7 linked regions of the Oryctolagus cuniculus genome follow. The protein of the gene in region 5 interacts with the protein of the main gene of each other region in a pairwise test. Links are inferred from orthologs where the notes say so. Each region holds a gene or a part of one and is shown on either strand. Other genes may lie near its edges.

Region 1 (4,125 bases), on a different chromosome or scaffold from region 5:
AGAGATGGGGCTGGTGTCATGGTGTAGTGGGTTAAGCAGCCGCCTGTGACACCAGCATCCCGTATGAGCACCGGTTCAAGTCCCAGTTGCTTCACTTCCAATCCATCTCCCTGCTAATGTGCCTGGGAAAGAAGTGGAAGATGAAGCAAGTCCTTGGGGCCCTGCACCCACGTGCAGGTTTTTATGGGGTCATACCAGACTGCTCTTACACCAGCTTTTCACAGTTAACAGAACCCACAGGCCTCTTCCGGCTACTACTCAGGTCGCTTCTGAGTCTCCTTGGCCCCTCCCTGACCTGTGGGTGGCCATGTGTGCCAGGTGCCCAGGCGTCCCGCCTCTGTGGGCCCGCTGGGCGCGGGTGAGCATCACTCACGTCAGCTCCTGCAGCTTGGCGCTCTTCTCGTGCTCTTCGCTCTTCAGCTTCTCATAGTCGGCCTGCAGCTTCTCCAGCTCCAGCTGCAGCTTCTGATTCAGGCTGTGAGGGCCGCGGGGAGAAAAGCAGAGGTTCACGCGCAGGAAAGGGAAGAAAGCTCTTCAAGCACTCTCCTCCTTGCAGGAGGGAAGCCACTTGGAATGGATGCATCAATGCAGGCCACTGCTTCTGTGACACAGCAAACAGCCCTGAGCTCGCCAATCAGTCAGGCCTCAAGGGGAGGGAGCAGTCCATACTTCTGTATCTCCTGATACAGCTGGGCTGCAAAGCTGTGTCACGGTGGACGGAACGACACGTGGGAGTGGAAGAACCAGATCCGGAAGGGCAGCTGAGCGCGCCCCGCAGGACGGGAGGACCTGGGGGAGACTGGGGCCACCCACGGGAACCTTACTCTTTGAGTTCATCAATGGTCTTTTGCTTCTCATTGATCTCGTCCCGGAGCCGGGCCAGCTGCCGGTGATGGGCCTCCCGGTGACTCTCCATCTGCACCTCCAGAGCCTTCTGCAAATAACCCCACTCCAGGCTCAAAGCCGGACTCCCAAGGCACCCCCATGAAGTCTCTGCTCCTGCGCCACCCTCGGCCCCGGCCCCAGCCCCGGCCCCAGCCCCAGCCCCGCACTCACCTTCACTTCATCCGCATCCTGGGTGTCTGGCTCCTTGTCCTTCAGGGCCACCTCATGCACAGTTTCTATGAGAAAGACAGCTCATACCAAACCCATCTCCTCCAGATAGACCCACAGGTGGTGACCAAAGCTCAGGCTGGGCAGGGGATGGGCTGTTCTGGGCAGGCCCAGGGTTTATGGTTCGTGTGCATGGGCCACGTGCAAAGGCCTGGCTGGGCTCTTAGCAAGAGTCTGCACCCGTGGTTTCAGGCTAAGGCTCTGGGGGACTGTCAGGCTGGTGTTTTGGGGACGTCTGGGACTTTCCCTGGGGGATCTCAGATGCCAGGACAGGTGGGACGGAGTTGAGGAAGGCCTCACCCTGGGCCTGCAGCTTGGCCAGCTCGTCACTCAGGGAGTCGTAGGACTCCTCCAGGTGCCGCTTCTTCAGCTCCACACTCTGCATGTATTCTGTAAGCGAGCGGATCTTGGCCTCATGCTGGGAGGAGAGGGGTGGGAAGAGAAAGAAGATGGCTGGAGCTGGGGACACAACTCCGAGCTGGTGCATACCTGTCAACTCCCATTCTCCCCAGTCCTCCCCCACCACACGCCTTCCAGGACGCTGCAGGTCGGGCGTCATTCCTATGGGGACTCTGTTGGACCCTCTCGGATCAGAGCCTTTGTTTGGCTGAATTCTCCCCACTGGCACCCCAGCTCCTCTGTCCCTGATCTCAGCTGACCTTGACCTTCAGGAGGGCGCTGGGAGCTTTATCCACAACCGCACAATAGCCATGTTCCCCAGGGTTCTCAGCTCAGGCGCTTACCTGGGAGATGAGGAGCTGGCAGGACGACAGCTCGCGCCCAGTCACCTCCATCTTGCGATGACATTCCACCTGCAGGTTCTCCAGCTGCCGGCACCGCTTCACCACGGACTTAACCTCCGATTTGATTTTGCTGATGTAGAGCCGTGCCACCGTGAACTCCTCCTCGATGGCCCCGCTGATCTCCACTGGCTGGGGACGGGCAGAAGAGGAAGACCAGCTGCAGGGGGGTCCCAGGCATCCCTCCCGCCTTCCGCCCAGCCCCTCACACACTTGGGGACTCAGGTGGACAGGTGAACCCCCTGCAGCAGCTCTCCTGGCAATTTGCACTAAATCCCTCCACCTGCGTTGAAAGAACCAAGGGCCACACTCCCCGCTCCCATCTCATCATGTATGATGATTTTCTTTGGTAGGCGAAACAGTGTCTCACTTCCACAGCACTGTGCCCCCACTGCTAAATTCTACGTACATCTCCATTGCTTCTGCACTTGGTACCTCCGCAATGTGTCCTGTTGCCTGAGTCTGTGCAAACCTCTTGCTGTTTTCTGGGTCTAGTGTGAAGGTGTGTCCCCTGGCTCTCTGCACCCCCCTCCCCAGTATCCCCGAGGGTCTGGATTGGGCCACCCTGCACATCCCACCAGGGCCTGACCAGGACTGCTGGGTCTCCCCACTCACCAGCTTGATTTCCCCGTTGCCCACGATGACGCTGAACTCACTCAGGTCCTTCATCAGCCCATTCAGCACCTCGGCAATTCGTTTGCGCTGGTGCCCACTGACCTCCTGGAGTCGCTGCAACTCAGACTCCAGGGACAGCATCGTGGCCTGGGGAACAGCCCCTCTGGTCACTGCCACTGCCATTCCCACTCCCCTCCCTGGCCCAGGCGGAGGCCTATCACTTCGTGCGTGACCCTCAGGGCCGCCACAGAGAGGACACAGGCCCTACAGAAGGGTGTGGAATACAAGGGGCAGAAGGGCAAAGTGCAGGGGCAGGATGGGTGCCAACACCCTACTGCCCAGCCCCCCGGGGAACATGGAGGATGTCCGAGGCCAGGAGCACTCGGGCCACGAGCAGGCCACTCACCACCTTCTGAGACAGCTCGTCCACCAGCAGCTGGTTCTGCTGGCTCTTCTCCTCCACCTCCTGGGACTTCTGGTCGTAGTTCACGGCCAGCTCCTCCAGGGCCTGCAACACTTCCTTCACCTCCTCCTTGGCGGCATCGTTCTCTGACTGCAGGTGGCTCAGCTCCCGCTGCACCTTCTCGTTGTCCCCTCGAGTGGACACCAGCAGCTGCACGGGAGAGGAAGGGCGTGTGAGAGAGCACCTGCTGGCGACTGTCCCCACAGCCCCACAGGCTGGGGAAGATGAGCCCCCGACCCAAAGCGTAAGTTGGAGGGAGTGGGTTTTAGGCTCCACAGCAACAGAATGAAGAAGCACCCAGACTCCAACTCTGAGCTTTCAGAAAAGCCCCAAAGCACTTCCTAGACTTCTGTTAAGTTTTGGGGGGTGACCAGCCCCCAGGCAGAATGCCACTTCCTCCATCCGATTTTTTTTTTTTTTTTTTTTTTGACAGGCAGAGTTAGACAGTGAGAGCGAGACAGAGAGAAAGGTCTTCCTTCCGTTGGTTCACCCCCCTAAATGGCCGCTATGGCCGGCGTGCTGTGCCGATCCAAAGCCAGGAGCCAGGTGCTTCCTCCCAGTCTCTCATGTGGGTACAGGGGCCCAAGCACCCGGGTCATCCTCCACTGCCTTCCCAGGCCACAGCAGAGAGCTGGACTGGAAGAGGAGCAACCAGGACTAGAATCCGGTGCCCATATGGGATGCTGGAGCCGCAGGTGGAGGATTAACCAAGTAAGCCATGGCGCCAGCCCTCCAATTTTTTTGTTGTTGTTATTTATTTTATTTGAAAGGCAGAATTAGAGAGAGAGGGAGAGACACACAGAGAGAGAACCATCCACTGGTTCATTTCCCAAATGGCTTCATTTGGTTTCCCAGGTGGATGGCAGGGGCCCAAGCACTTGGGCCATCTTCTGCTGCTTTCCCAGACCATAGCAGGGAGCTAGACAGGAAGTAGTGCAGCCACGACTTGAAATGGCACTCATGTGAGGTGCTGGTGTTGGAGGCAGTGGCTTTACCTGCTACACCGCAACTCACCGACCCCCTGCCATCTGATTCTATAAAGGCCTTCTCAGGGGAGGGTGTTTACAAGTAGGGAGACCTACGTCCCACACTGGGGTTCGATTCCCAGCTCCAGCTGCTGACTCCAGCCTCCTG
Region 2 (4,468 bases), on a different chromosome or scaffold from region 5:
TGAAAAATATTGTGTCACTTCCTTTTGGCCTTCATGATTTCTGATGAGAAATTGGCTGTCACCTGAATTATTTTTCTCCTATAACGAAGGTGGCATTAATCTTTGCTTTTCAGATTTCTTCTATTTTGTGCTTTTCAGAGTTTGACTATTTATATACTTTTTTTGTGGATTTCTTTGGGATTTGCTGTTTGCAATCTGCTCAGCTTTTAGAATTTGTAAACTTATGTTTTCTTGATAAATTTGGGGATTTTTCAACTATTATTTATTTTATTATATTTTAAGCTCCCCTCCTTCCAGGATATTATGAATGCTATGGATATTATATCTTTTGCTATGGTTTCAAATTTTCCTATTATTTTTTCTTTTATATTTTTGTTAAAATTGGTTCTTTTTTTTCCTAAAATATTTATTCATTTATTTATTCTATTGGCAGAGTGACAGAGAGAGTGAGTCTCCCTCTCTCTGTGTCTCTCTCTCTCTCAGATCTACACACACACACACACCCACACACACAGCAAGAGCAAGAAATATATATAGGGATCTTTCATCCACTAGTTTATTCATCAAATGGTCAAAATATTCAGAGTTGGGCTAGGGCAAAGCCAGGAGCCAGGAATTCATCATGTTTTCCAATGGGTGGCAGGTACCTAAGTCCTTGGGTCATCATCCACTGCATTCCTAGGAACATTAACAGGGAGCTGGATTGGAAGAACAGCAGCTGGAACTTGAACCTACACTTTGATATGAGATGCTAGCATTGTAAGTTGTCGCTTAATATGTTGTGCCACAATGCTAGTTCCATGTAGGTAATTTTTCTATTGATTTGTTTTCCAATTCACTATTTTTTTTTTAAGGTAACAAGTTTTTGGTTTATTTCAAACATGTACATGTAACTTAAGAGTTTGAGGCTTGCTCTCTGGTTTGACTCTCATCTTACAGAACTGTTATACACAGACATCCCTTTTTCATCAGCTATTATGTGTTTTTTTCACCCTGTAATTAATAAAAATTAGCACCTAACTCTCTATTAAACTATTTTTGGATACCTTTCAGGGTTACTGTATTTACTTTTCCTGCTGTCACATTTTGTACCCTAGTGCAAAAAAATAAAAGACCTCCTATTTCAGTGATCCAAAACTTAAGCATAATTAAGTGAACTGTTAATTTATTTTACTTTATCCGCAGAACACAGACCACCATTGGGAAACAAGAAAAAGCACCAAGTAAAAAGCCAATGAAAAAGAGAAAAAAGAAGAGAGCTGCTAATTAAAGCTAACATAGTTGTATATTTGTATATATAACTATTAGATGTATTTATTCAGTGCTAACAACCTGGGTATCATTTATTCACAAATCCCTAAGTTTTATTTTTTTAACATTAAAGTGAATGTTCTAGAGCTTTTTCTCTGAAAATTTTGTCATCTCAAAGCCTTATTCCCCAACCTGTGTATGTGTAAAGTGTAAAAATTGATGAGGAATAAAATAATCTGATAGGCTGCTGTGTGTGTACAAAGAAGAATGATTTTCATCGTACTGGTAAATAAGCACAGATTTATTGTGCAGAAATCGGCAGACTGATCCAGTTGCTTAGGAAAATGGATATTAGAACATTGAGGGTCTGTTTTCCTAAAGTCAACTTTTTAGAGAGTGGCTTTCCACTCCCCACTGTACTGTATAAGCCAGGTAACTTTTCTAAGAAATCTTGAAGTCAGGTTTTTATCTCAAATTAAATTTGACTTATAAAATTTTCCAAATCAATTTATTAATTCTTAATATCCTGACAGCTGGCATCATTAATACTTTTAACAAAACCACTTAAAATTAGCCAAATATCTATGATAGATACATGTACAAAAGATATACAAATTAAAACCATTTAAAAAGTAATAGATACCATAATTTGTTCTTGTCCATAACTTCTGTATTCAGAAATGATTGTAACATTCAAAACCCAAGATAAAAACTGTACACAATATACTTTGAGTGATTTACATCTTAGAAACAAATGCAGTCTTTCACTGTTAGACATTTAGTGTCTCTGGTGGGTTGAGGAGGGAAACACCATGATACTTTGAATTTTTGTACTTTTCTCTTATTGATTGTTGTGCATGCTGTGGTGCTTTGAGGTAGGTCTGGTGAAGGTCCATGAGACAAGGCTTAAGAGTCTCCAGAGTGTATCCAGTCTTTCGTACTAATGATTCAGGCCAGCTTTGTCCCGTGACTGTGTAGAGTGCTAAATGAAATGCTGCTCCAGCAATAACTGATGGCAGATACTTTAGGTATGGGTCAGCATCTATCAAACTTAATTCTCCCAAAAACATTGCTAAACTTTCGACTTTGCAGTTTGCAGGCTGCTGATGTAGAAAGTATTGGGTAAGAAACTGATTTACCGTTGGTGCAGCTAAGTCAAAAGCAAGGACTTTCAAAACTAGATGCTCCATTCTCAGAACTTGTTTCTTTGTATAGGTATCATCTGTAATGTATACAAACTCTGCTACTTCTGGTGGGTATATTTCTTCAAATTTTGAGGCTAGCAGCATAGCAGCAGTGCCCACAAGCTGAAGCTTTCCTCTCAACACAGACATTGAAGAAAGAAACCTATCGATGTAGTTCACCGCCAAATGCAGAGTCTCATTCTGTAGTTTATATTCCTCTCCTACTTCAACTAACCAGTCCACGAGGATAGCCCTCATACTGTTAGTGATGTCAGGCTGTTTCTTCATGTAACCCACTTTAGGTTTACATTTAACCTCCATTTCCCTAAGATATGTGTGAATATCCTCATGGTAGTCTGGGACTTCATTAACACTCACTGGCTTTTCATCTTCTAATACAATTGACATGTCCATAGTATATGGTGACTCGAAACTACCATCCATTGGCTAATCAAGAGGTACCAGTGGTTTTCTTTGTCCAGGTAAAGTGATGGCTGAATTAAAAGCCAGGACATCTTCAGGCTTGTCTTTTTTAGATTCCGTGGGCCTCTTGGGAGGCTCCTCTTCTGCTTCATCCACATGAATGGTGAATGCAGGCTGTTTACTGTTTGCTTTCCAAGGAGGAACAGAGACCTGCTCATCATTTATAGGAAGATCCTTAAGAGGTGCAACCCGTCGCGTCGTGGGCCTCTGTTGTGGAACTGGACCCCGGGAGTTCCCAGCCTTCAGTACCACCAGAGCAGCCTGGGCCCGCGGCTGCTGGGCGTGCACCGCCTTCTCGGGGTTGATGTTCTCCTGGTCCTCTAGGAGCGCCGAGCCCGCCTCGCCGGCCGCGGGCTTCGGCACGTTGTGGCCCAACATCGTTGCTCCAGGGAGCTGGCGGCGGGATCAGTCTGCCGAGCCAAGCAGCGTGCACACTCCGCCCAGTCGACCAGCGGCGCCGATCCCGCCCAGGAACGCTCCAGCCGTAGCCCCTCGCCGCAGCCCGGGCCAGTCTGCCAGCCCTCCCGCTCGCTCCCCTGTCTCCGGAACGCGCAGGATCGAGGAGGTTGCGAGAGGCGCAGGCAAACGCTGCCGGGCGCGGAGGGCAAAAAAAAATCCAATTCACTATTGCTTCCTCTTTCTCTCCCATTCCACTGTTGAGCCCATTCATGGAGTTTTCAAAATATTAGTTATTGAATATTTTATTTCAAAATATATTTTCTTCTTTATATATTCTTTTCTTTGGCTAAAACTTTATGTTTTTTATATTTGTTCCAAGTATATTCATGATTATTGTGGAAGTATTTTTATTGTAGAGTCTACAAAATCCTTGTTAGACAACCCTGAGTGTCAACATCTTTAGATCATGTTTTCTCACTCTAATTGAGAATAGCCTAGTTTTCCTTTTAACATAAGTGATTATTAAAATTAAATTCTTGATATATTAGTGATTAATATTGTGAGACATTTGATCTCATTTAAATATTTGATATGGCAGGATCCTATGACGCTACTCCAATGGGGAAAGGACATCATCTTATTATCAGCAGCTTGGCCTCCATTGACACTGGGGAAGGGGTACTCTTTATAAGTGTGGGGCAGTAGTAGAAGACAAGACTCTCCACTATGTACCTACTAATACTACTCAGGCTGGATGTGGAAGAATTGCCTCATTACTGATCCCCATGTGGCTTCTCTGACACTTTCAGGGGATGGTTTGCCTTGTTACTTTTAAGATTAGCTGAAGTCGTAACTCTGTATTTGGTCTTCTCGGACATCCATCCAGCAGGGAAGGAGAGGGGCACCTCAAAATCTCCATGTCATACCAGGGGATTCCAATTCAATCCCATCAAGGTGGCATGTGCCAATGCCATCTCGCTATTCCAGGTGATCAATTTCAGTTCACAATTGATCATAATGAAAGGACTGAGAGTCAAGGGGAGCACATGGGCAAGTCTAGTATCTGCTGACACCAACCGATAGAATGGATAAAGGGGAGAGTGGTCCAGCATGGGAAGTGAGATGCTCAGCAGACTCATAGAATGGCGGAT
Region 3 (4,125 bases), on a different chromosome or scaffold from region 5:
TGGAAAACTGAGATATTATGAGGTTGAATTTTTTTTTGATATCATAGTACAGACTTATCTTACAGACTAAAAGACTATAATCTAAATAGTTTATATGTCATGCTAACCTTAGGATAAATATGTTGGAAAGAAGAAGAAGTATTATGAATAGGCAAGAATTCAGGCCCAAATTAATCCAATCTCCTAATTATGAAATTAAAAAAGAATAAAAAAAAAACCCCTAGTTTAAAATTTAACTTAGATTTTGTAATATTAAGACAAAAAGAAGAGTTGAAAACTGCCAAAACTGAAGCTGTGCTAATAACAGTTCTCAAGTGTTTACAATTGCACTAAAACCAGTTAAACTAATAATTTAAGTTAGATACCTGTGAAATGCTACAGAGCTAGTAAAACTATTTGTTTGAATCAATTTATAATAGGACAAAGGCTCCCAAATAAGGCATATATAAATGGGAAAATGTGCGAACATGGAAAATAACAATGGTCTATCAAAATCTAACGCCTTTTGAAGTTATGTCTAATGTCCCTAACGACAAGAAATAGAGTTTAGCCATCTTTAAATTACTCATAGTATCTTAGCATAGTGCCTCATTAGGAACGAATGAAATTTCAAATGGATTCAAATAGTAGAAAAGCCTATTTGAAAAACCTAGTAAACAAATATATAAAATAATGTTAATCACTATCATGGTCCAAATAGTCTATAAATTTTATTCAAGGTAATAATTTATGTCTGGGATGGTAGCAGTGACATTTTCTACAATTTTCCAGCCTTCTCAATCAGATAATTTAAAAGATAAATATCATCCAATATGAAACAAGGTAATAAGAACCACATTCTTACTTACCTTCAAATGCTTTAAACCTCTACATAAGTGTCTAAGATTTTGGTGAGAAATTATTTAACAAATCCACAGAAACCACTGCCACTTTGCTCAAACTTTTAATAGGGCAACATTAATTCTATCTAGTCCAATCTGTTTCTTCTTCCTAACAGATAATTCCTAAGGTTGTTTTCTGTAAATTTAATACAATCAAATTAAATCTGTGTCACTCTTAAAGTTTACCTAGATATTATTTAGGATGAAATATTTTTAACCATTTAATTAAGATCACCTAAAGGTTCAGATTATCACAATGACAAGGTATCTTAAAGATCATTCTAATTACCTTTGGGAAATTATTACATTATTAGTTCCCTTTATTATTGAATCACATATAGAGAGATTGCATGAAATAAAAAAAATTTGGTAAAATGGTTAAAATGCTGTTGTAAGTAAGCAAAAGACAATTTCCTACAAAATGGTATAAAATTTAGTATATTATATAGGGACATAACTTTTTAATATTTAATTAACCAAACCAAGTCCCAGAATATTAAAATCTATAAAGCAGTTCAATTTCATTAAAAAAAACACAAAACCATCCTTTAATTCCACATTTACATAAATTCAAAGTTTTTCCAGAATGACAAGAGTTGTCTTATTTGTTATAAAAGCCTGAAAGTTTTATTTCTACAAACATATTTTAAGAATAAAAACTAAAATGAAAATAGGGATTAAATTCTACAAATTTCTTACTGTGAACACTCATTCTAACAAAACTTTTAGTATCTAATCAAAATTTTCACCTTATTTTAAAACCAGTAGCATATGACACTATAAGGTATTAACAGTAATTTCTACATCAAAAAATAATTTTGGTTTTATTATCATGCTCTTAGTTATGCTGGAAAGGACATAGGAAAATGAGATACTCTTAATTTTTAAATGTCTGAGAAGTTATGGTGATATACTAAAAAATATTTTTGGTTCAAAGTTAAGACACAGGAAAACAGAAAGGGTTTTTCTAATCAAGCAATGCTGGTAAAATATACCATTACTTCAATACAGGATTTCTAATAAAAATCAACAGAATTATCAAGTACTTAATTTTACACTTTTTAAAAAGACTTGTTCTGTAAGAGTTGTGATACTTAAGAATATAATGTTAAGGTTTCCTTCTAATTGACCAATAGTAGTTCAAGAAAACAGGCTACTCTACACAAAAAACAATTTGAACAAACTTTTAGTTAACCAGTATCCATTCTAAGTGTTAAGATGACTACATCTGTTAGGTGCTCATGTAAATTTGTCAAACAGTAGTGTAATTTTTTTTTTTGCTATATATTAGAAGAGAAAAAAAAGAGGACTACTAAAAGAGAATAAAACTCATTTAAAATGTTATTTTAAAGGGAAATACAAACAGAAGTGTTAAATAGTTGTTATATCCCTGTCACGCTAAAGCAGCACAATAATATTGGTGTTTAATATTTATTTCACTACGCCAATATTTACGTGCTGCTAGAGCGGAACAAGTCAGTCAGTCCATCTAAACATAAAATGAGCATCAGATGATAAAAATCCAGTTTTGAGTGTGTTTCCTTAAATTTCTAGAGCAGCAAATTATGATTCGCATCTTGACTATATTATGTAAACCATGATGTGCTGCTACAGTACTTTAAGGCCTCAAAACACAGGATTCATCCAACAGGGGAAACCTCTCTGGCATTGTTGGGGGGGAAAAAGTAATAAGAAAGACCTTCTGAAGTCTTTAATAATCTCACCTGCAAGATTAAAAATCTATTATGGTCCAAGTCAATTCCATGGCTTCGAAGAAGATTTCCAACATCCTTAAAGGTCTTTTTCTTCCCACTTATATGATAGACAGAAGTATTATCTCTGTAGGCCGTTCTGGATACATAAAAGTTACTGTTAGGAATGACTTCATAATCATCTCCTTCCTGTTTTGAGGAAAAACAAAACCAGAAAACAAGTGTTGGTATTAAGTCACAGGTCTGCTTCAAATTTCACTCAGTTCATACGGAAATGAATACTGTGGATTAAAAACTTCACTGAATATGCTTACAAACTGGCAGCAATTCTCAGAAATAACCTTGCTTGGCAAAGAACACTTTTCCAAGTTGGCACCTTTCTCAAAGATCACAAAAACCAAAAAGTAAAGAGACCAACCAAAAAACCCATCCCCAAACAAACCTAAAATCGTATTTGAAGAGCTGATGGACAAGAATCCCATCACACCCAAAACAAACTCACCCATCTAATTAAATCATGTTGACAGATTTAATCAAAGGTAAAGAGAACAACCATAAAGAATCAATAATTCCTGATTTAATACTAAAACTCACATTCCCTGACCGTAAAAGCTCTGCTATACTGAAGCTTTGTTTTAAAAATATAGATGAATCAAAGCTAATAGCAATAGAATAACATCTGATTTACTGGCAATCTATTTTCTAATCCAAATTACTCAACAAAATGTATTAATAAACTAGATGCTTCTGTGCAACTAAAGCCCTTCATGCTAAAAAAAAAAAAAAAAAGCCCAGAAACCAAGTCATTTCCCCAATTTCACTATACGTGTTGTTTTATTTTTGAGCTCTATTTAATCAGTTTTGATTCACGAATTTCCTAAAATTATTCATTAAACAGAAAAGAAAAAAAAAAAAATCAACAGAATCAAATAGTTCCAACCAAAGAAAAGCTCATCATATCACAGACATAGAAAACCACAAATAAACTAACCTCAGTGTGCACTGAAATAATGGTGTTGGTAAAAATAACTCAACCATAAAAATTTTCAAGTTTAGTAAATTTATTCTAAGCAATTAAAAATATAACTTTTAAAATTTGAGCTCAAATTTATAGTAAAAGAATGCCTATTTAGCACTCAGTATCCTAAAACTGCTCAATGTTTTGTCCAGAAAGTGTAAGGATTACTATGAGCTATTTATACTTCATTTCTCCGGCTAAAAAATTTATTAACAGGAACCCCTACTCCTCAAAAAGAAAAAAATCGTTACACAGTTAATTAAAATTACCATCTCTTTTGCTTTAGTTAAAATTTTTAAAAGCTGATTTAAGCCAAAAACAATCAAATGTGCAAAGTATTGAAGTTTTCTTCTCTGTTTTCCTTACTTGAAGCTGCAAATAACCGAATAGCAGAAGCCCCTTACCTTATCAATTATCTTTTGAAAATGAACTTCTACAGTACAACTCTGAATATCCTTGTGTTCATCAGAATTATGTATTAGTACTGAGAGTTTTTTAGACCTTATTTTTTGTG
Region 4 (4,125 bases), on a different chromosome or scaffold from region 5:
AGGGTCAAAAAGAGACCACCCTTCACATGGGAGCCAGGGGAACACACAGTCCTAGGAAACGCTGGTTTTGGGCAAGGGCCCCAGTGGAAGATCCAACATGAATGTGCATAGCAGAGAGCCCAAGAAACGGATTTAACATCCATCAAACTATCAATCAGCAATGCCAGCTTCTTTGTCAGATTTTTAAAATATCCCTTCCTAGGATTTTTAAATGTAGGAGTAATGTTCAAGTTTATGCAGGAACCTGAGGAGGGAAAGAAAAGGGGAAAAGTAACTGACCATGAGAAAAAACAGGTATTCACTCGCCTGTTCGGAAGCCAGTCTCATCATCAGAAAGCAGGGCAGTCGAGGGGCCAGATGTTTTAGGCAAGGAAGATAGCTACGGTTTCATCTGCCCTCCCTCTCTTTGCTCAGAAAGCTGATTCTCTCCCCCTCCCCAAGCCCCATGATGGATACTCAGCTGTGTGAGGAAAGTGAGAGCAGAGACATCTCAGTCAGGAAACAGCACCCGAGAAGACCACATACTGACAGCTTAGAGACAAGGGGACCCGCATCACAGCTAGAAGAGGTCAACAGCCACGATTAAAAGCCACAGAGAGAAGAAAACTCCCTGATGCACAGTAACTTGAGCAGAATAAACACACCATCTAGCACAAGGAAGGGTGAGCGTCACCCAGATGAAGAAAGAACCTTGGTGTCCGGTGATTCGTTCTGGGTGGAACTGCTGGCTGCAGAAGGAAGCCACACACCGTGAAGCTAGCAAGAGGAGCCACAGGAAGACTCGGCCATCAACCTGCTTTCCCAACCTGGACAGAGCTGTCTTCTCACAAATTTGAGGTAAATTCATTTGCCCATTCACATTCAATCCCATTCACAATAGCTACAAAAACAACCAAATATCTTGGAATAAACTTAACCAAGGACGTTAAAGATCTCTACGATGAAAATTACAAAACCTTAAAGAAAGAAAGAGAAGAGGATACCAAGAAATGGAAAAATCTTCCATGCTCATGGATTGGAAGAATCAATATCATCAAAATGTCCATTCTCCCAAAAGCAATTTACAGATTCAATGCAATACCAATCAAGATACCGAAGACCTTCTTCTCAGATCTGGAAAAAATGGTGCTGAAATTTATATGGAGGCACAAGAGACCTCGAATAGCTAAAGCAATCTTGTACAACAAAAACAAAGCCGGAGGCATCACAATACCAGATTTCAGGACATACTACAGGGCAGTTGTAATCAAAACAGCATGGTACTGGTACAGAAACAGATGGATAGACCAATGGAACAGAATTGAAACACCAGAAATCAACCCAAACATCTACAGCCAACTTATATTTGATCAAGGATCTAAAACTAATTCCTGGAGCAAGGACAGTCTATTCAATAAATGGTGCTGGGAAAATTGGATTTCCACGTGCAGAATCATGAAGCAAGACCCCTACCTTACACCTTGCCCTTACGGCTTTCTAATGTGACATAAAAAACCTTATGTGATTATCTATATATAGAGTACCTTAAACAACTCAGGCAACTGTCACATATCCAGATGCTATACAAAAGTAGACAAAAGTGATTATCTCTCTGTGTGTAAAACGCAGGACTGAATGAAAGTAATATTTACTCAACTGTTAATAACACTCATGAATGAAGAAGATGCCCAATTCTACTAACACTGTCCTTTAAGCTGATGTTGAAAACGGCCCCATGAGGCTGTCAGAACAGCATTTTGCTGGGTATTAACATCTCTTCCTGTGGAAGGCAATGGCTGAGAACACAGTGGGTGACCAAAAGTAACGAAGACAAAGGCTGTGAAACAGACCCAGGCCTGGGGACGTGGCTGTCCCACAGCACACTTGCCTGTTGTTTTTTCAGCAGGATGTTGACACTGGTCAGGTCTTTGCCATAGTCGTCAGATTGGATCTGACTCTCCAAGCCATGCAGCCATTTGTCTAGATCTGCACAGCTCTGGGTGAAGAGTTCAGCCTTGTTGGCATCAAAGAGCCGCTGGGCCTTGGTCTGGGTGGTGGACTCAAGGACTTCCCACATTTTATGTAGACTGGTGAGCTTCTCTTTGACCACGGCTTCCGTCTCGGGCTTCTCTGAAATGAGCTGCATTCCTTCCTAGAGAACACAAACCAGCGTGGTTCTAAATAAACAGAATTTGCTGGAGAACAAATGTCACTGAAAAACAAGGCTAAGACATCTGATCTGCGATTTACCCTTTCATTCAACACACACACCCACCCCACTCACAGTCATTCCACATTAGGATACTGTGCACATTAGTATAGGTTGTGGGGGAGGAAACACAGCGCTGCAGGCTGAAACAACTGGAGCAATGGGAGACTTGGAGCCAATAACCTAAGACTTCATCTCATTCATTCCATGCCTCAGCGATCAAACATAACGCATTATTTTCCCCATTCAGAGCCTGAAACAATATCAGAGGTGTGAAGGGAGAGGAGGGAGGGTGGTAACTTTTACGCCGTTGGGTTATACAGCAGAGAATCTATTTCTTGTGCTGAAATAACAGGTTTCAACAGTTAATACAGATCTGGTCTATATAGTCAAACAAGAAAAACAGATTTTAAGTATATATTTTAAAATTCTCTGCAGCTCTATCCGATAAAGCTGTCACAGTACGACACAGGTTAATATGATCAATATGGTGGTGACCCTCCTTGGTGGGGACTCTTGGTCTGTCAGCTCAACAGCAGATGAGGTGCACAACACAGACTAAAATGCTTGGCATTCACTTAAAGAAAAGCCAACCATTTTGCAACACCTGCTTGGGTTTTTGCTTTTCTCCCTTCTAGTGGGTTGAAGTCAGGACCTGGTAGGTCAAAGTGGGACTGCTACTGGCTGCAGAACTTCTGTAAAGCATCAGGTAAGACGCAAACAAGCTGGAATATGTGCTACACGCGGGAGTTTTCTCATCGCAGCCACAAAATGGGAATGGGGACTTTCTTGAAACATTTAACCCACCTTCTCAATTTTGTCAAGCCATTCTTTGTTGGATGCAAGTTCTGCCATAAATGCTTGATGTTTTAACCATTTACTGTGCAGATTTCTGGCTTCATCGTATGACATATCCTGGGCTGTCAGCATCTTTTCATTGATCCAGAGAGATAGCTATAAAACAAAAGATCAGGAAGGATTCAGATACTGTGATCACAAACCACTGTTTTTTTCCTCTGCTGAAAAAAGGGACTATGTGTGCGTCATGAGTTTCCATGGCAACACAAAACCAAATATGTAACTTTACAACTTTCACCCATCATGAGGGGTACCCATTATGCAAAAGTTGTACCAGGGCTTTGCTTTGCAATGTGCATGTTATGCTCTGCCCCAAAGTACAAAAGCTCTTTGAATCTGCTTTCAAGCTGTTGGCCATTCCTACCCAGCTATACCACAAAGGCTTGCATTTAAAATTCTCCTCTAACCAGCCCAAGTCACTACCTCTTTCCCTTCCAGATACCTTTGTTGTCTATGCCACTGTGTTAAAACATGACTGACTCTCATCTTGTGTGGTGATCTTGTTGCTCTTCCGACTTTCTATTAGAAAACGAATCCATTCACTCATTTAACTACCTCCCTGCTTCCTGGCTCCAACTGTGGGGAGGCCAAAATGCACCAGTCACGCTCACAATAGGGCTCAGTCAACAATCATGCCCTCTTCACGGTTCTTCTGTCACCTTCGCCTTTCTGTCTACAGCCTCCAGCCTGCTGAAGACCCTTTCACTGAGACTGAGAACACTCCACAGGAGTTAACTTTGAGACTCAACATGTCCACTTGGATCTGAACTCTGGAAAGCCACACAAAACCTTCCAGCCATGACAGATCTGAGGAAGGAGTTTTCTTAGGAGGCTTAGAGGTAAGGAGTCAGCCAAACTCCAGGCCGTGGACCTTTTATTGGCTTTCCTTCTGGTTGAGCCTTTGTCGCTTATTGCTCCCTTGCAATGGGCCATGCCAGAGTCCTGATTCCTACCCCATTCATGTGCTAACTCGGGAAGGATTTTCTGTCTTCCCAGGCAGGAGAAACACAAAGAAAGAAATGCAGAGTTGGCTTAGAATCAGGAGCAAATGTCTTCAGGGCCCATGTCTCTTGCTCCTA
Region 5 (4,125 bases):
CAAAATGGAAGCCGCAGGAGGCGGAGACCAAGGCTGACGCCAGGAGGGGCACACCCAGGTTTCCACGGGGGTCCCACGAGCACCGCGGGGACAGCCCCACGCAGGAGGAAGGACCAGGATGAGTGACAGCTCCCCAGCAAGACAGCGGCAGCCTGCGGCACTGTCCGGGCCGCGGTGGAAGGGCGCCCTCTAGTGCCAGCCTCAGCTCGGCAGCCTCAGGCCACCGGGCACCTTCAGCACTGACCCAGCGTTCCAAGCGGAATCACCCAAGAGACGCAGGTGCTGATTCACCTGGCAGAGGTGCGTGCGTGCGTGCGTGTGTGCGTGCAGGCGTCTGCAACTTCTGTGTAAACAAATGCATAGAACCTCATATATCTGTGTAAACAAATGCATAGAACCTCATATATAAAACTGGAATTTGTGGCTGACAAAGCAAACTAGCCAAGAAACTTCCTGCTCTTCATCCAAAGTGACTGAAGACAAGCCTCCCCTGGCACCCGAGGCACCCCCCCCCCGCGGGCACTGCCGCACGTCTGTAAGGAGGCCCCAGGAGCCAGGCACAAGCAGAGCACCCGCTGGACAGCCAGCTCACACAACGCCTGGCGTCTCGCAGGCAGCCCGGTCCCGCCTTCTACAAGCAGAGCCTGGGAGCAGGGGCGGCCAAGGCTGCAGGGAGCGGACGCAGCAGACCAGGCCCGTGGCTCTGAGCTCCTGAAGCAGCCACTGCCCCCACCTCTGGCCTAGGACATGGAAACAGCCCCCACCCCAGAGAGGGCCTGCCCGGCACTTCCTATCCCGGGGAGGGGTGGCCTAGGACACAGACTTCCCCCACAGAGAGGGCCTGCCCGGCACTTCTATCCCGGGGACGGGTGGCACTTGTTTCTATCCCGGGGAGGGGTGGCCTAGGACATGGAAACAGCCCCCACCCCAGAAAGGGCCTGCCCGGCACTTCCTATCCCGAGGAGGGGTGGCCTAGGACACAGACTTCCCCCCCCAGAAAGGGCCTGCCCGGCACTTCTATCCCGGGGAGGGGTGGCCTAGGACACAGACATGCCCCCCCCCCCAAGAGAGGGCCTGCCCGGCACTTCTATCCTGGGGAGGGGTGACCTAGGACACAGATACCCCCCCCCCAAGAGAGGGCCTGCCCGGCACTTCTATCCCGGGGAGGGGTGGCCTAGGACACAGATACCCCCCCAAGAAAGGGCCTGCCCGGCACTTCTATCCCGGGGAGGGGTGGCCTAGGACACAGACTCCCCCCCCCCCCCAAGAAAGGGCCTGCCCGGCACTTCCTATCCCGGGGAGGGGTGGCCTAGGACACAGACTCCCCCCCCCCAAGAAAGGGCCTGCCCAGCACTTCGTATCCCGGGGAGGGGTGGCACTTGTTCCTATCCCGGGGAGGGGTGGCACTGCACCTGTGAACAGGCATTACCGGTCGGTTTCCCAGGGCGAGCTCGGAGCAGGCTGCGCCCTCACCAGCACACGCAGGACCCCGTACCTTCTCTCCGGCTCTGGGGGGCTGCTGTAGCTTCTCATAATCTTTCTTCGTCTCCAAGATTTTTTTCACAAGTCCACCTGTTGAAAACAATCACGTTACAGTTTATTCACTAAGAAGCTGTTTTAATGGGGGAGAGTGGCAGAAATGCTGAATTAGTACCCTTTTTCTATACTGGAAAGTTTATTTTCTTTTTTTTTTTTTTTTTATTTGACAGGCAGAGTTAGACAGTGAGAGAGAGAGACAGAGAGAAAGGTCTTCCTTCCGTTGGTTCATCCCCCAAATGGCCACCACGGCCGGCGCACCGCGCTGATCCGCTGGCAGGAGCCAGGTGCTTCTCCTGGTCTCCCATGGGGTGCAGGGCCCAAGCACTTGGGCCATCCTCCACTGCACTCCCAGGCCACAGCAGAGAGCTGGCCTGGAAGAGGGGCAACTGGGACAGAATCCGGCGCCCCGACCGGGACTAGAACCCGGTGCCCATATGGGATGCTGGCGCCACAGGTGGAGGATTAACTAAGTGAGCCACGCGCTGGCCTGAAAAGTTTCAAATAATCTTTCCATTTGACAAAAGACAGCCTCCAACAGAACAGCCAACAGCTGCTGGAGGAGACGCTGCAGGGAAACAGGCTCCTCGCGATTCCTTTCCTCGTGCCCGGAGGAGCAAAGCTGGCTGCCGGGACCCAGCGCAGGGCCGTCCCGAGCGTGCTGAGCACCGGTCCTCCTCTTCAACCCGGCACGGCGCCAGCGCCTTTGTTAGGCGGGGTAAACATCGCATGCAAAATCACTTTCTCAAGACACCGCTCCACCCACGCACGCGCCAACACCAGCCTGGCTGCATCACTGCAGAGCCACGTGCGGCCGCGAGACAGGACGGCCGGTGCCCCATCTGCTTCACAAAGCACCGGCAAAGACAGTCATTGAAAATGAAGCAGGGTGGCCACGAGGGCACGTGAGCACACGCACCCGCACGCACCCATGTCATTAAGGAATGGAGCAGAGGCCACACTCTGGGCTCTCACACAGGTGAGACGGCCGTGTTGTGTACATTTGACCCTAAAACCACGCGTACGTGTCATATACCCACACACAAAATTAAAAGCACCAATGCCCAGAAACTGAAAGCAAGATAAACAATAATACCAAATTGGCCAGCACACACCAATAGAGAGTTATTTCATAACTTTAAAACAGAGTAATGCTTTGTACATCCCCAGTGCAATACACCCTAAAGACAAAAAGACAAACAGACGCACAGCACAAATCTGAAGCATTATCAGTCACCTGCTGGCACAACGCGCTGGCAGTGGCGGGCGGAACTGCCTGGTGCACGTTGTCAGGTACATTAGACCAACAGCCGAGGCTGCTGGGAGCAGACAGAGACACAGGTGCAAAGCCAGGAACACAGGCAAAACCCTGCCTTGCTACACTGTACGAGCTCAAGACACATTATATGCATACATGTATGTCTGTGATGTCTATGTGCACACACACACACGTGTCTACATTCTGGGTTCACACAGTGAAAATTTCCAGAAACAACGACCAACCCAGGGGCAGCAAATACATAGTGAGCCTGAACCGTCCTGTGCTATCAGAAAACAAGGACGCTACGTCTACTGCATGTGCCACACGGTCCCCACAAGGTAACGCAAGTGGGCTCCCGCTGTTAACACTAGGCAGGCTGAACACCAGTTAAGAAAAGCTGAGATAGAATGAGACAAAACACATCTAACTAGTTAAAATCCATGGCCTCAAATACTTGTAGACAAAAACAAACCAACAAAAACCACCCAGAGCCCTGCTAGGGGCCAGGGACAGTCACTCAGGGGAGGGGAGGGGAGGGAAGAGGCAGCCAGCGGTTCCTGCCTCTGCTGCAGGGGCTGTGCCTGGGGGAGGGGGAGGGACCCAGGGTCTCTGCTCTCCAACCCTCCAAGAATAAACAGCCCTGGGCCAAGGCCACGGGCAGAGTCCCACACGGTGACCACAGCACTGTCCAGCACTGTCCGAGATGCACTCCCGCCACACCCGGACTGCAAGCCTCCTTATTTCCACTGCTGTGGCTGAGTGTCCTTGGTCCCCTCCGAGGCTCCCGCGCTGGGAGCCCGATCCCAGCGTGACACCGGCGGGAGTGAGGAGGCGTAGGAGGTGGGGTCTAGAGGGAGATCCAGGGTCACCCGGGGGTGAGCTCTCAGGTGGCTTGAGATTCTTACAAAGCCTGAGGGCCCTGGACTTCCGCCACACACACACACACACACACACACGCCTGCCATCACGCCATGTTTCCACTTTCAGCACCCAAAGTGGAAGCTAAAAAGCTCCTTCCCAGTAGCCTGCCTTCCGTATTTCCATTCAGTGACAAAAAGCTGATCAAGAACTGGCAGGACACAGAGAAGAAAACGGGCAAAGACACCAGAGAGATGATGAGCAGCACCCAACGGGGAGAGAGTCAAGGGCAAGCCGGCCAATGCTTCCTGTGTGAACACAGCACCGGGGAGAGGGCTACAGGCTGAGAGATGGGCGAGTCGCATGAACCAGCTGCAACGAAGGGCCTTCTTTGAATCCTGACTCACACAGACACACCAGGAAAGCAAACAGCCCACCTGGGAAAACCAGGCACTTGATGACACTAAGGG
Region 6 (4,565 bases), on a different chromosome or scaffold from region 5:
GGGTGGCAGGGACTCCGATACGTGAGCCGTCACCTCTGCCTCCCAGGGTGCACATCGGCAGAAACCTCGGTCGGAAGCAGAGTGGCTGAGTCCAGAACCAGGTGCTAGATGCGCGATGCAGGCGTCCCAAGTGGTGGCCTGGCCACCACACCGACGCCTGCCCGTTTTTAAACACTTCAGAGTTTCCTTAACAGCAGACTTCTGTAGACCATCTGTCATCCAGCCTGCTCTGTCGCACTTACACACAGAGTGTGACAGCCAGCAGGCGATTCATCAGACCAGCTGCTGCGAGAGCTTCAAGTGGCGGGAAGGAGCAAACACGCCTCAGCTCCTGTCCCCTGCGCCGACAGCAACTCTACAGCGCCTGCTCTGGGGCAGGGCAGTGAAGGAAACGTCTCTGGACTGCAAACCAAGGACCCCGCACCCTGGTAACGGGGTGAGCAGACGCTGGGCTGGGTGTGCAGCTGCAGCAGAGGAGGAGCGCGGAATTCAGAGGGCCCTGTAGGCGAAGGCCTTCGGAAAAAGTCACAGCGAGACCTACAGGACGCCCAAAACTCCGCTGAGAGCAGTGGGCAAGGAGGTAGCTCAAGCAGCGGAAAAGCTCAGGGGCCGGCGCTGTGGCGCAGCAGGTTAGAGACCCGGCCTCAGCGCCAGCATCCCACGTGGGTGCCCATGTGAGTCCCGGCTGCTCCACTTCCGATCCAGCTCTCTGCTATGGCCTGAGAGAGCAGCGGGAGATGGCCCAAGTCCTTGGGCCCCTGCACCCAAGTGGGGGACCCAGTGGAAGCTCCTGGCTTCAGCCTGGCCCAGCTCTGGCCATTGCAGACATTTGGGGAGTGACCAGAGGTGGAAGATCTGTCTCTACCCCTCTAGCTCTTTCAAATAAATAAATATTAAAAAGGAAAAGTTTATGTACGAGTCCTGAGACAAAAGAAATCTGATGCATTCCAAGGACTGAAGGCCAGTGTGGCTGACAGGTGAACAAGACGGAGAGTGGGACAGGGAGACCACTCGGGGAGCTGGCACTGAACTGCAATAATGTCTTTTTTTTTTTTTAACCTGTCAACATATGTTTTATTTATTTATTTGAAAGGCAGAGTTACAGAAAGACAAAGGCAGAGAGAGAGAGAGAGAGAGAGAGAGAGGTCTTCCATCTGCTGGTTCACTCTACAAATGGCCACAACGGCCGGAGCTGGGCCAATCCGAAGCCAAGAGCTTCTTCCGGGTCTCCCACATGGGTGCAGGAGCCCAAAGACTTGGGCCATCTTTTACTGCTTTCCCAGGCCACAGCAGGGAGCTAGATCAGAAGTGGAACAGCCAGGTCTTGAACTGGCGCCCTTATGGATGCCGGCTCTGCAGGCGGCGGCTTACCCGCTATGCCACAGCACCAGCCCCACAATAACGTCTTAACAGTAAGGAGCAGCCAGCAGATTCTCAGCAGAGTGACACAATCATTGGGAAAGACCACTCTGGGGGCCAGCATTGTGACACACTGGGTGATGTCAGCATCCCTTATCAGTGCCAGTTCAAGTCCCAGCTGCTCCTCTTCCGATCCAGCTCCCTGCTAATGGGCCTAGGAAAGCCCCTGCATCCACATGGGAGACCAGGATGGAGTCCCAGGCTCCTAGCTTTGGCCTGGCCCAGCCCCACTGTTGCAATCATTTGGGGGGTGATCCAGCATAGCAAAGATTCTCTAACTCTACCTTTCAAACAAACAAATCTTTTTTTTAAAATAATCACTCTGGGGGCTAGCACTGTGGCACAGTAGGCTAAGCCGCTGCCTGCAGTGCCAGCATCCCTTTTGGGCGCCGGTTTGAGTCCTGGCTGCTCCACTTCTGATCCAGCTCTCTGCTATGGCCTGGGAAAGCAGTGGAAGATGGCCCAAGTGCTTGGGCCCCTGCACCCGTGTGGGAGACCTGGAAGAAGCTCCTGGCTCCGGATCGGCGCAGCTCCGGCCGTTGCAGTCATCTGGGGAGTGAACCAGCAGATGGAAGACCCCTCTCTCTGTTTGTAACTCTACCTCTCAAATAAATCTTAAAAATAAATAAAAAACCACTCTGCCTCAGAAGACCAGGAAGGCGAGCACACCTACTGTGTTCATCACTGCAACCCTAGCACCCAGCACGGTGCCTGCACAGTCGGCACTCCGTGGACATCTGTGGGATGACCAGTGGCTGTGCAAGCAGCCGGAGGCCACTACAGCAGCCCAGCACCTGGAGGCCGGCGTTCTGGGTTGAGATGTTTCTGTAAGTCGATTTGCTAGGACTTAGAGGGGCTTGACTGGAGGAGGGGATGAGTGAAGCGGTCGGGCATGAATCCCTTGCACCTGGGAGGGGTAGCTGAATGAGTCACCTGAGACGGGAGAAGGGTTGAAGGAGAGGCTTCCCAGCTGCCCATCAGATTCCATCCCAATTCCCACTACACGCGGCGGAGCGCCGGGGTGAGGGCGGAAACGCCTCACCACGATCCATGCTTGGCATCAGGCACAGGCCCCGTTCCTGGGGTTGGAGGAAGCACGAGGCTGAGTCCGGAGGGCCTGACACTGTCTTTACTGCGCAAACCCGTTGGATTTACACGAGTCCCCGCTTCCTAAGACCACGCTCAAGCTCCAGGCCCAACCTGAGTGTGAAACGCTCGCGAAGGGACGGGCGGAATTCCTAAGTTTCTTTCAGCCTGGAACAGCCTTTCCTCAACAGCGGGTCTGTCCAGTTCCTCTAGACCCAGCTGCCCCCGACCCGAGGTCACGACCTACCTGCCCACCCGTAGCGGTGGTGCGCTGCGGCCCAGGCTGATGTTGACAGGCAGCTCCTCTCGGCGGTGGGCAGCAGTCAGTGCCTGGCCGGCTCGCCTCTCCTCAGCCGCTGCCACGGCTACAAAACCTGTTTATCCACAACGTCACTTCCGGACACCGGAAGCACTCACACCCGTTCATCCTACAGGGCCTGCTGGGAAACAGAGGCCCGAAGGGAAGGATGACTGCCTACAAGATCCAGAGGCCTTTGCGCCTGCAGGGCTACCGGAAGTGGCTATGCTCTTGCCCGGAAGATCCTCCGGGAATTTCCGCCTCCCCTCCCTGTTAGAGTGCTGTGCATGCCGGGCTTTGTAGTCTCAGGCTTATGGCCCGCTGCTCCGGGAGGAGTCGACCGGCGCAGGATGTGAGCTCACAGCTCGGGATTGCTGGCGGGCAGGCAGCCACAGGTCAGAGACGGCACGGAGTTCGCTCGCCCCCCAGCTGAGAGGAGAGGAGCCCCCGGCGACGGTGAGAGTCGGGCCTCGGCTGGAGCAAAGACTGCCCGCCGGGTCCTGGGAAGCAGGGGTGGGACGGCGCAGCGGAGATGCAGAGCTGGTCTCGGTTCCTTGGTAGTGAGGGGGGCGGGCTGGGCAAGAGCCTACGCTGGCCACGGGAGAGGCTGGCCGTGGCCGAATTTCTCCAGGACCTTGCAGCCTAAGCCTCACACCTAGGATTTCTGCTGGGTCCACCCTCTATAGCCAAGATCAGCTCACGGCTTCCCCAACACCCACCCGCCCCCGGCCCCCCGTGCGTGACGGGTTTCTAGATCCTTCTTCCTTTGGGATCCAACCGCGGTCCACCGCTTTGGTTGTCTGCCTTTTGTTCGCAGAGTGGGAAATGGATCCGCCCCTAGCCCCAGGCATCCCCAAATACCCACAAAGTCCGGAAGGAAGAGTATTGAGTGGAAACTTCATTGTCGCTGGAATTACTTTCTGGGGCGGCACCTGCCGCAGGATTCCTGGAACTCATTGGTCTGAATGGAATCTGAGCTGACGTCAGCCAGGAACAGTTGCTTTGCAGGAAAGGAATAGATTAGCTGTGGATTTGTCTTCCTCTCCTGGCAAACCGCAGGCTTTCAGTACCTTTGCTTTGGGAGAAAATGCATGTGTTTTCTTTGACCTTGTTAAAAACTTTTCCTGGGTGGACTGATTGGTTTGGAGTCGGTGGGAGGTTAGGTCATCCGCTGTCCCAGTGGAGGTCTCGGCAGACTCCTGTTGAGGGCTTTTCTCATCCACACCGCATGCCTGCACAGTTCATCACTTCACAGGACACCCACTCTGGCCCTTTTGGGACATTCTTCCCAGGGACCTGCCTAAATCTTTTCAGGGACAATTTCAATCTGACGAACTGCCATGGACTTCAAAAGGTTCGTGGGAAGTCAAATTAAGAAAAATTTATTTTGGTGGAGAAAACATCTTGAAATCCATGTATAAAAGTGCAGGCCAGTGTGCAGAAAGACCGCGTGCGGAGTGGAGCGGCACAACTGGGGACACCAGTGCCATTTGTGGGCTGCACTTGGCGAGGCACACCGTCAGCTCCCGCGTGTGAGCATGGAGGGAGAGGATTCTGCCTTTTCTCTGCCTCTGTTCCCCCTGTGCTCCAAGTCTTCACCACTTTATGCCTGCACTACTGCTTCCTCTGGTCCTCCCACGGCCTCTGCACCCTTACAATCCATTCTCTACACCGCACCCAGAAGTATGGTTGCGATTATCTCACTCACCTGCTTAGAACCCTCCAGTGGATTCCTGCACTGCACTGCACTTGAAATAAAGCC
Region 7 (4,125 bases), on a different chromosome or scaffold from region 5:
CAGGCACAAAAATTTGAAAATCTGGATAAGAGAAAATGTGGGGCTTTTTTGGGAGGGAATAGAATATAAAACCCCATTTCAGTACTTTTGAGGACAAGTAATAGAAAAGACAATAGACTAACTGTGTTTCTGTGTGTGAAATGTGCATGCTTATTTAGACAACTAATTTCCCTTTCTAAATTCTAGGAAAATAGGCAGTTGCTAAATGAAAGAATTAAATTAGAAGGTATTATTACTCGAGTAGAGACTTACCTCAATGAGAATCTGAGAAAACGCTTGGACCAAGTAGAACAGGTACGTTGTTCCTTTTTAGGGGTTCCTTGATGATCGTAACCCATTTGAAAGTGGTTATATGAGAGACTGAAAGCATAGGCTTTGGGGACAGAAACATAACTGACTGACCTAAGGGACCTAGATTGGAGTTCTAGCACTGCCACCTAGTGTGCAGTTTTGGGCGATTCTCACTTATTATTTCTAAGCCAGTGTTTCTTATGTAAATAAAGTCTGCATTAGTGTTAGTACCTGTTTTGCATGGTCACTATCATGGCACATTCTAAGTGCTCAGTAAATGCTAATTAATAATATTTTCTCAGTAGTACTCAGATGCTGAGAAATTTTCTAGTATTAATCTTCCTACTCCATTGTATTCATGTATTTTTGATTTTGTTGGATTCAAATATAACAGCTGTAGAAACTGTTAGCAGACATACCATTTTGAAGTTAACAAAATTTGTTTCACTTGATTTAATGCTAATGTTCATAGGTCCTTTTGTGTTTAGGAACTTAATGAACTGAGAGAGACAGAAGGGGGTACTGTCCTTACAGCCACAACATCAGAACTTGAAGCCATCAATAAAAGAGTAAAAGATACCATGGCACGATCAGAAGGTGAATTTTTATGTAGTAAAAATGTTTTTGATTATTTACAGTTAGCCTTATTTGTTTTGTGAGATTGCTTTACTACAAAATGAAATACCTTAAGAGGCAAAAAGCATGTGCTAATAAGTTTTTGTGTCTTGTGTTATTTATAAACAATTTATGGTGAGTGGTGTTTAGGTTGATTATAAATAGTAACAAATAGTTACTTGTTTTATTGAGGTGTTTGTGACATTTTTATTAGAAACTATAAAGTAAAATATTATGGGAAAAAGATAAAAAGTGCTTTCATTAAGGTTCTTGTCACTTAGTTGCTGAGAAGAAAATCAATTTCTTAGTTTTTTATATAAACAAGTATTAAAATAATAAAAACTATATTGGAGTGACTGATTTACAAGCCCAATTTTGTCCTAAGTAGTTTATGTATTTTCACAGCAAAATTTAAACAAACACTGGAAAAAAACCTAACACCTATATAGTTTGGTAAACTTGGCCATTAAAATAAAATCTTTGCTCAAATAACATTTGGGCTTTAAAATAGATTTTATAGCCTAATTTTGTTTTTTCCCCACCTTAGATTTGGACAATTCCATTGATAAAACAGAAGCTGGAATTAAGGAGCTTCAGAAGAGTATGGAACGCTGGAAAAATATGGAAAAAGAACACATGGATGCTATAAATCATGACACTAAAGAACTGGAAAAGATGACAAATCGACAGGGCATGCTACTGAAGAAGAAAGAAGAGTGTATGAAGAAAATTCGAGAACTAGGATCATTACCCCAGGAAGCATTTGAAAAGTACCAGACACTGAGCCTCAAACAGGTAAATCTTACTGGCTTTAAATTTGAAGTCTCATTGCAAATCTCCCTGTATGTGAATTTATTTATACTTTTTTTTTTCTCCTTATAGTTGTTTCGAAAACTTGAGCAGTGCAACACAGAATTAAAGAAGTACAGCCATGTTAACAAAAAAGCTTTGGATCAGTTTGTAAACTTTTCTGAGCAGAAAGAAAAGTTAATAAAGCGACAAGAAGAGTTGGATAGGGGGTACAAATCAATCATGGAACTGATGAATGTACTTGAACTTCGAAAATACGAAGCTATTCAGTTAACTTTCAAGCAGGTGTGTTTCTGCTTACAGTTAAAATGCACAGGCACACAGAGCCAAGACTCAGCTGTTACTCAATTTGTAAAGCTTCCCACCCACTGACACAGAGAATAGACCCAACACAGGCTCTTGAAAGGATCCAATATTTCATTTCTGTTTTTAAGATTAAAAAACACTTCTGATTGCTTTAAAATAATTGTTTTAAGCAAAATTTATATTTCAGCTGACAGGGTTTTGTTTTGTTTTGTTTTTAAGGTATCCAAGAACTTTAGTGAAGTATTCCAGAAGTTAGTGCCTGGAGGCAAAGCTACTTTGGTGATGAAGAAAGGAGACGTGGAAGGCAGTCAGTCTCAGGATGAAGGAGAAGGGAGTGGTGAAAGTGAGAGGGGTTCTGGGTCACAAAGCAGTGTCCCATCAGTTGATCAGTTCACTGGTGTTGGAATCAGGGTAAAGTACCTTTACTTTCTGTTTTCTTTAGAATATCACCGTGGCAGAATTCGGTGGATCTTTTGCAAATTAAATTGGCACACTGTAGGCGACTTAAGAGATAATAGTGATTTTTTTTCTCTAAGATACAAATGCATAACACGTTTTTTTTAGGTGTCATTTACAGGAAAACAAGGTGAAATGAGAGAAATGCAGCAGCTTTCAGGTGGACAGAAATCCCTGGTAGCCCTTGCTCTGATTTTTGCCATCCAGAAATGTGACCCAGCTCCTTTTTACTTGTTTGATGAGATCGACCAGGCTCTGGATGCTCAGCACAGAAAGGCTGTGTCAGGTACAATGTGGGTTTTGTAGTTAGTCCTGAAAAGATGATAGTTCACCTGTTGTCTGGGAATATAGTGAGTAAATAATTTCTCTTTTAGTAGTATTTAATAGTATTTGTTAAATAGTTTAACAAAGTTTAGTTTTGTATGAGAAATAGGTGTAATTCTGTTTTTTTGTTTTTGTTTTTGTTTTTGTTTTAAGATTTATTTATTTATTTGAAAGAGTTACACAGAGAGAGGAGAGGCAGAGAGAGAGAGAGAGAGAGGTCTTCCATTTGATGATTCACTCCCCAGTTGGTCCCAACGGCCAGAGCTGTGCTGATCCGGAGCCAGGAGCTTCTTCCGGGTCTCCCACGTAGGTGCAGGCGCCCAAGGGCTTGGGCCATTTTCTACTGCTTTCGCAGGCCATAGCAGAGAGCTGGGTTGGAAGTGGAGCAATGGGTCTTGAACCGGTGCCCATATGGGATGCCAGCGCTTTAGGCCAGGGTGTTAACCTGCTGCGCCACAGCGCTGGCCCCAACGTAATTCTTTAAATCAGTAAAAACTGGGGCCAGCGCTGTGGTGTAGTGGGTAGGGCCACCGCCTGCAGTGAAGGCATCCCATATGGGTACCAGTTTGAGTCTCGGCTGCTCCACTTCTGATCCAGCTCTCTGCTATAGCCTAGGAAAGCAGTAGAGGATGGCCCAAGTCCTTGGGCCCCTGCACCTGTGTTGGAGACCCAGAGGAAGCTCCTGGCTCCTGGCTTCAGATCGGTGCAGCTCTGGCCATTGCAGCCAATTGGGGAGTGAACCATTGGATGGAAGACCCCTCCCTCCCTCCCTCCCTCTCCTTCCTTTTCTGTGTAACTCTTTCAAATAAATAAATAAATATTAAAAAAAGATCTTTTAAATCAGTAAAAACCCTGATCCAGTTAAATTTATGTACAAAAGTCACTTTTTCAAAAATTTAATTTTTGTTTATTTCTTGAGAGAGGACTCTGTTGGTGGGTTCCCATATGCCCACAATGACCAGGGCTGGGTCTGGGCCAGAACCAGGAATGGGAATGCAGTCCAGGTCTCCTACATGGGTGGCAAGAACCCAGTTAGCTCAGCCATCACCACTGCTTCCCAGGTGGGAAGCTGGAGTTAGAAGCCAGAGCTGGGAATCAAACCTAGGCACTCTGATGTGAGACCCAGGGCGTAAGTGCTAGGCTAAATGCCCACTACCCACCCAAGAGTCTCTGTTTTCCTTGATGTTAGAATAGTACAAAAATAGTGTTGATTCTGTATAGAATCAGTTAGTTCCAAAAGTCTTTGATTAAGTGGGTAGCATAGGGAAGATTCTTTTTTCTTCATTGTGTGAGGGGACTTAACATTGCTCTGGTATCTCCAAT

The links.
Region 1: the proteins of TRAF3IP1 (region 5) and KIF5A interact in a two-hybrid assay, tested with the Homo sapiens proteins (2 studies listed by IntAct). The link is inferred for Oryctolagus cuniculus from reciprocal best matches to the Homo sapiens genes TRAF3IP1 and KIF5A.
Region 2: the proteins of TRAF3IP1 (region 5) and cyclin-A2 interact in a two-hybrid assay, tested with the Homo sapiens proteins (2 studies listed by BioGRID and IntAct). The link is inferred for Oryctolagus cuniculus from reciprocal best matches to the Homo sapiens genes TRAF3IP1 and CCNA2.
Region 3: the proteins of TRAF3IP1 (region 5) and SMC4 interact in a two-hybrid assay, tested with the Homo sapiens proteins (2 studies listed by BioGRID and IntAct). The link is inferred for Oryctolagus cuniculus from reciprocal best matches to the Homo sapiens genes TRAF3IP1 and SMC4.
Region 4: the proteins of TRAF3IP1 (region 5) and SPTBN1 interact in a two-hybrid assay, tested with the Homo sapiens proteins (2 studies listed by BioGRID and IntAct). The link is inferred for Oryctolagus cuniculus from reciprocal best matches to the Homo sapiens genes TRAF3IP1 and SPTBN1.
Region 6: the proteins of TRAF3IP1 (region 5) and IFT20 interact in a two-hybrid assay, tested with the Homo sapiens proteins (2 studies listed by IntAct). The link is inferred for Oryctolagus cuniculus from reciprocal best matches to the Homo sapiens genes TRAF3IP1 and IFT20.
Region 7: the proteins of TRAF3IP1 (region 5) and SMC3 interact in a two-hybrid assay, tested with the Homo sapiens proteins (2 studies listed by BioGRID and IntAct). The link is inferred for Oryctolagus cuniculus from reciprocal best matches to the Homo sapiens genes TRAF3IP1 and SMC3.

The regions. Positions count from the first base shown.
Region 1 is NC_091442.1:60,179,627-60,183,751, reverse strand, and holds part of KIF5A (kinesin heavy chain), read right to left. Parts: intron 3,142-4,125; coding exon 2,935-3,141; intron 2,676-2,934; coding exon 2,529-2,675; intron 2,046-2,528; coding exon 1,857-2,045; intron 1,532-1,856; coding exon 1,414-1,531; intron 1,122-1,413; coding exon 1,057-1,121; intron 935-1,056; coding exon 825-934; intron 476-824; coding exon 374-475; intron 1-373. UniProt on the Homo sapiens protein: Microtubule-dependent motor required for slow axonal transport of neurofilament proteins (NFH, NFM and NFL). Can induce formation of neurite-like membrane protrusions in non-neuronal cells in a ZFYVE27-dependent manner.
Region 2 is NC_091435.1:65,354,784-65,359,251, forward strand, and holds cyclin-A2, read right to left. Parts: upstream 2,880-4,468; coding exon 2,022-2,879; 3' UTR 842-2,021; downstream 1-841. UniProt on the Homo sapiens protein: Cyclin which controls both the G1/S and the G2/M transition phases of the cell cycle. Functions through the formation of specific serine/threonine protein kinase holoenzyme complexes with the cyclin-dependent protein kinases CDK1 or CDK2.
Region 3 is NC_091435.1:120,356,156-120,360,280, forward strand, and holds part of SMC4 (structural maintenance of chromosomes protein 4), read right to left. Parts: coding exon 4,016-4,125; intron 2,783-4,015; coding exon 2,606-2,782; intron 2,493-2,605; exon of another isoform or gene 2,433-2,492; intron 2,346-2,432; exon of another isoform or gene 2,281-2,345; intron 966-2,280; exon of another isoform or gene 849-965; intron 1-848. UniProt on the Homo sapiens protein: Central component of the condensin complex, a complex required for conversion of interphase chromatin into mitotic-like condense chromosomes.
Region 4 is NC_091433.1:147,999,241-148,003,365, forward strand, and holds part of SPTBN1 (spectrin beta chain, non-erythrocytic 1), read right to left. Parts: intron 3,143-4,125; coding exon 2,996-3,142; intron 2,132-2,995; coding exon 1,868-2,131; intron 1-1,867. UniProt on the Homo sapiens protein: Fodrin, which seems to be involved in secretion, interacts with calmodulin in a calcium-dependent manner and is thus candidate for the calcium-dependent movement of the cytoskeleton at the membrane.
Region 5 is NC_091434.1:2,056,382-2,060,506, forward strand, and holds part of TRAF3IP1 (TRAF3-interacting protein 1), read right to left. Parts: intron 1,573-4,125; coding exon 1,430-1,572; intron 1-1,429.
Region 6 is NC_091448.1:43,884,814-43,889,378, forward strand, and holds the start of IFT20 (intraflagellar transport protein 20 homolog), read right to left. Parts: upstream 2,922-4,565; 5' UTR 2,753-2,921; intron 1-2,752. UniProt on the Homo sapiens protein: Part of intraflagellar transport (IFT) particles involved in ciliary process assembly. May play a role in the trafficking of ciliary membrane proteins from the Golgi complex to the cilium.
Region 7 is NC_091446.1:19,682,987-19,687,111, reverse strand, and holds part of SMC3 (structural maintenance of chromosomes protein 3), read left to right. Parts: intron 1-186; coding exon 187-294; intron 295-779; coding exon 780-888; intron 889-1,453; coding exon 1,454-1,701; intron 1,702-1,788; coding exon 1,789-2,001; intron 2,002-2,241; coding exon 2,242-2,433; intron 2,434-2,586; coding exon 2,587-2,764; intron 2,765-4,125. UniProt on the Homo sapiens protein: Central component of cohesin, a complex required for chromosome cohesion during the cell cycle. The cohesin complex may form a large proteinaceous ring within which sister chromatids can be trapped.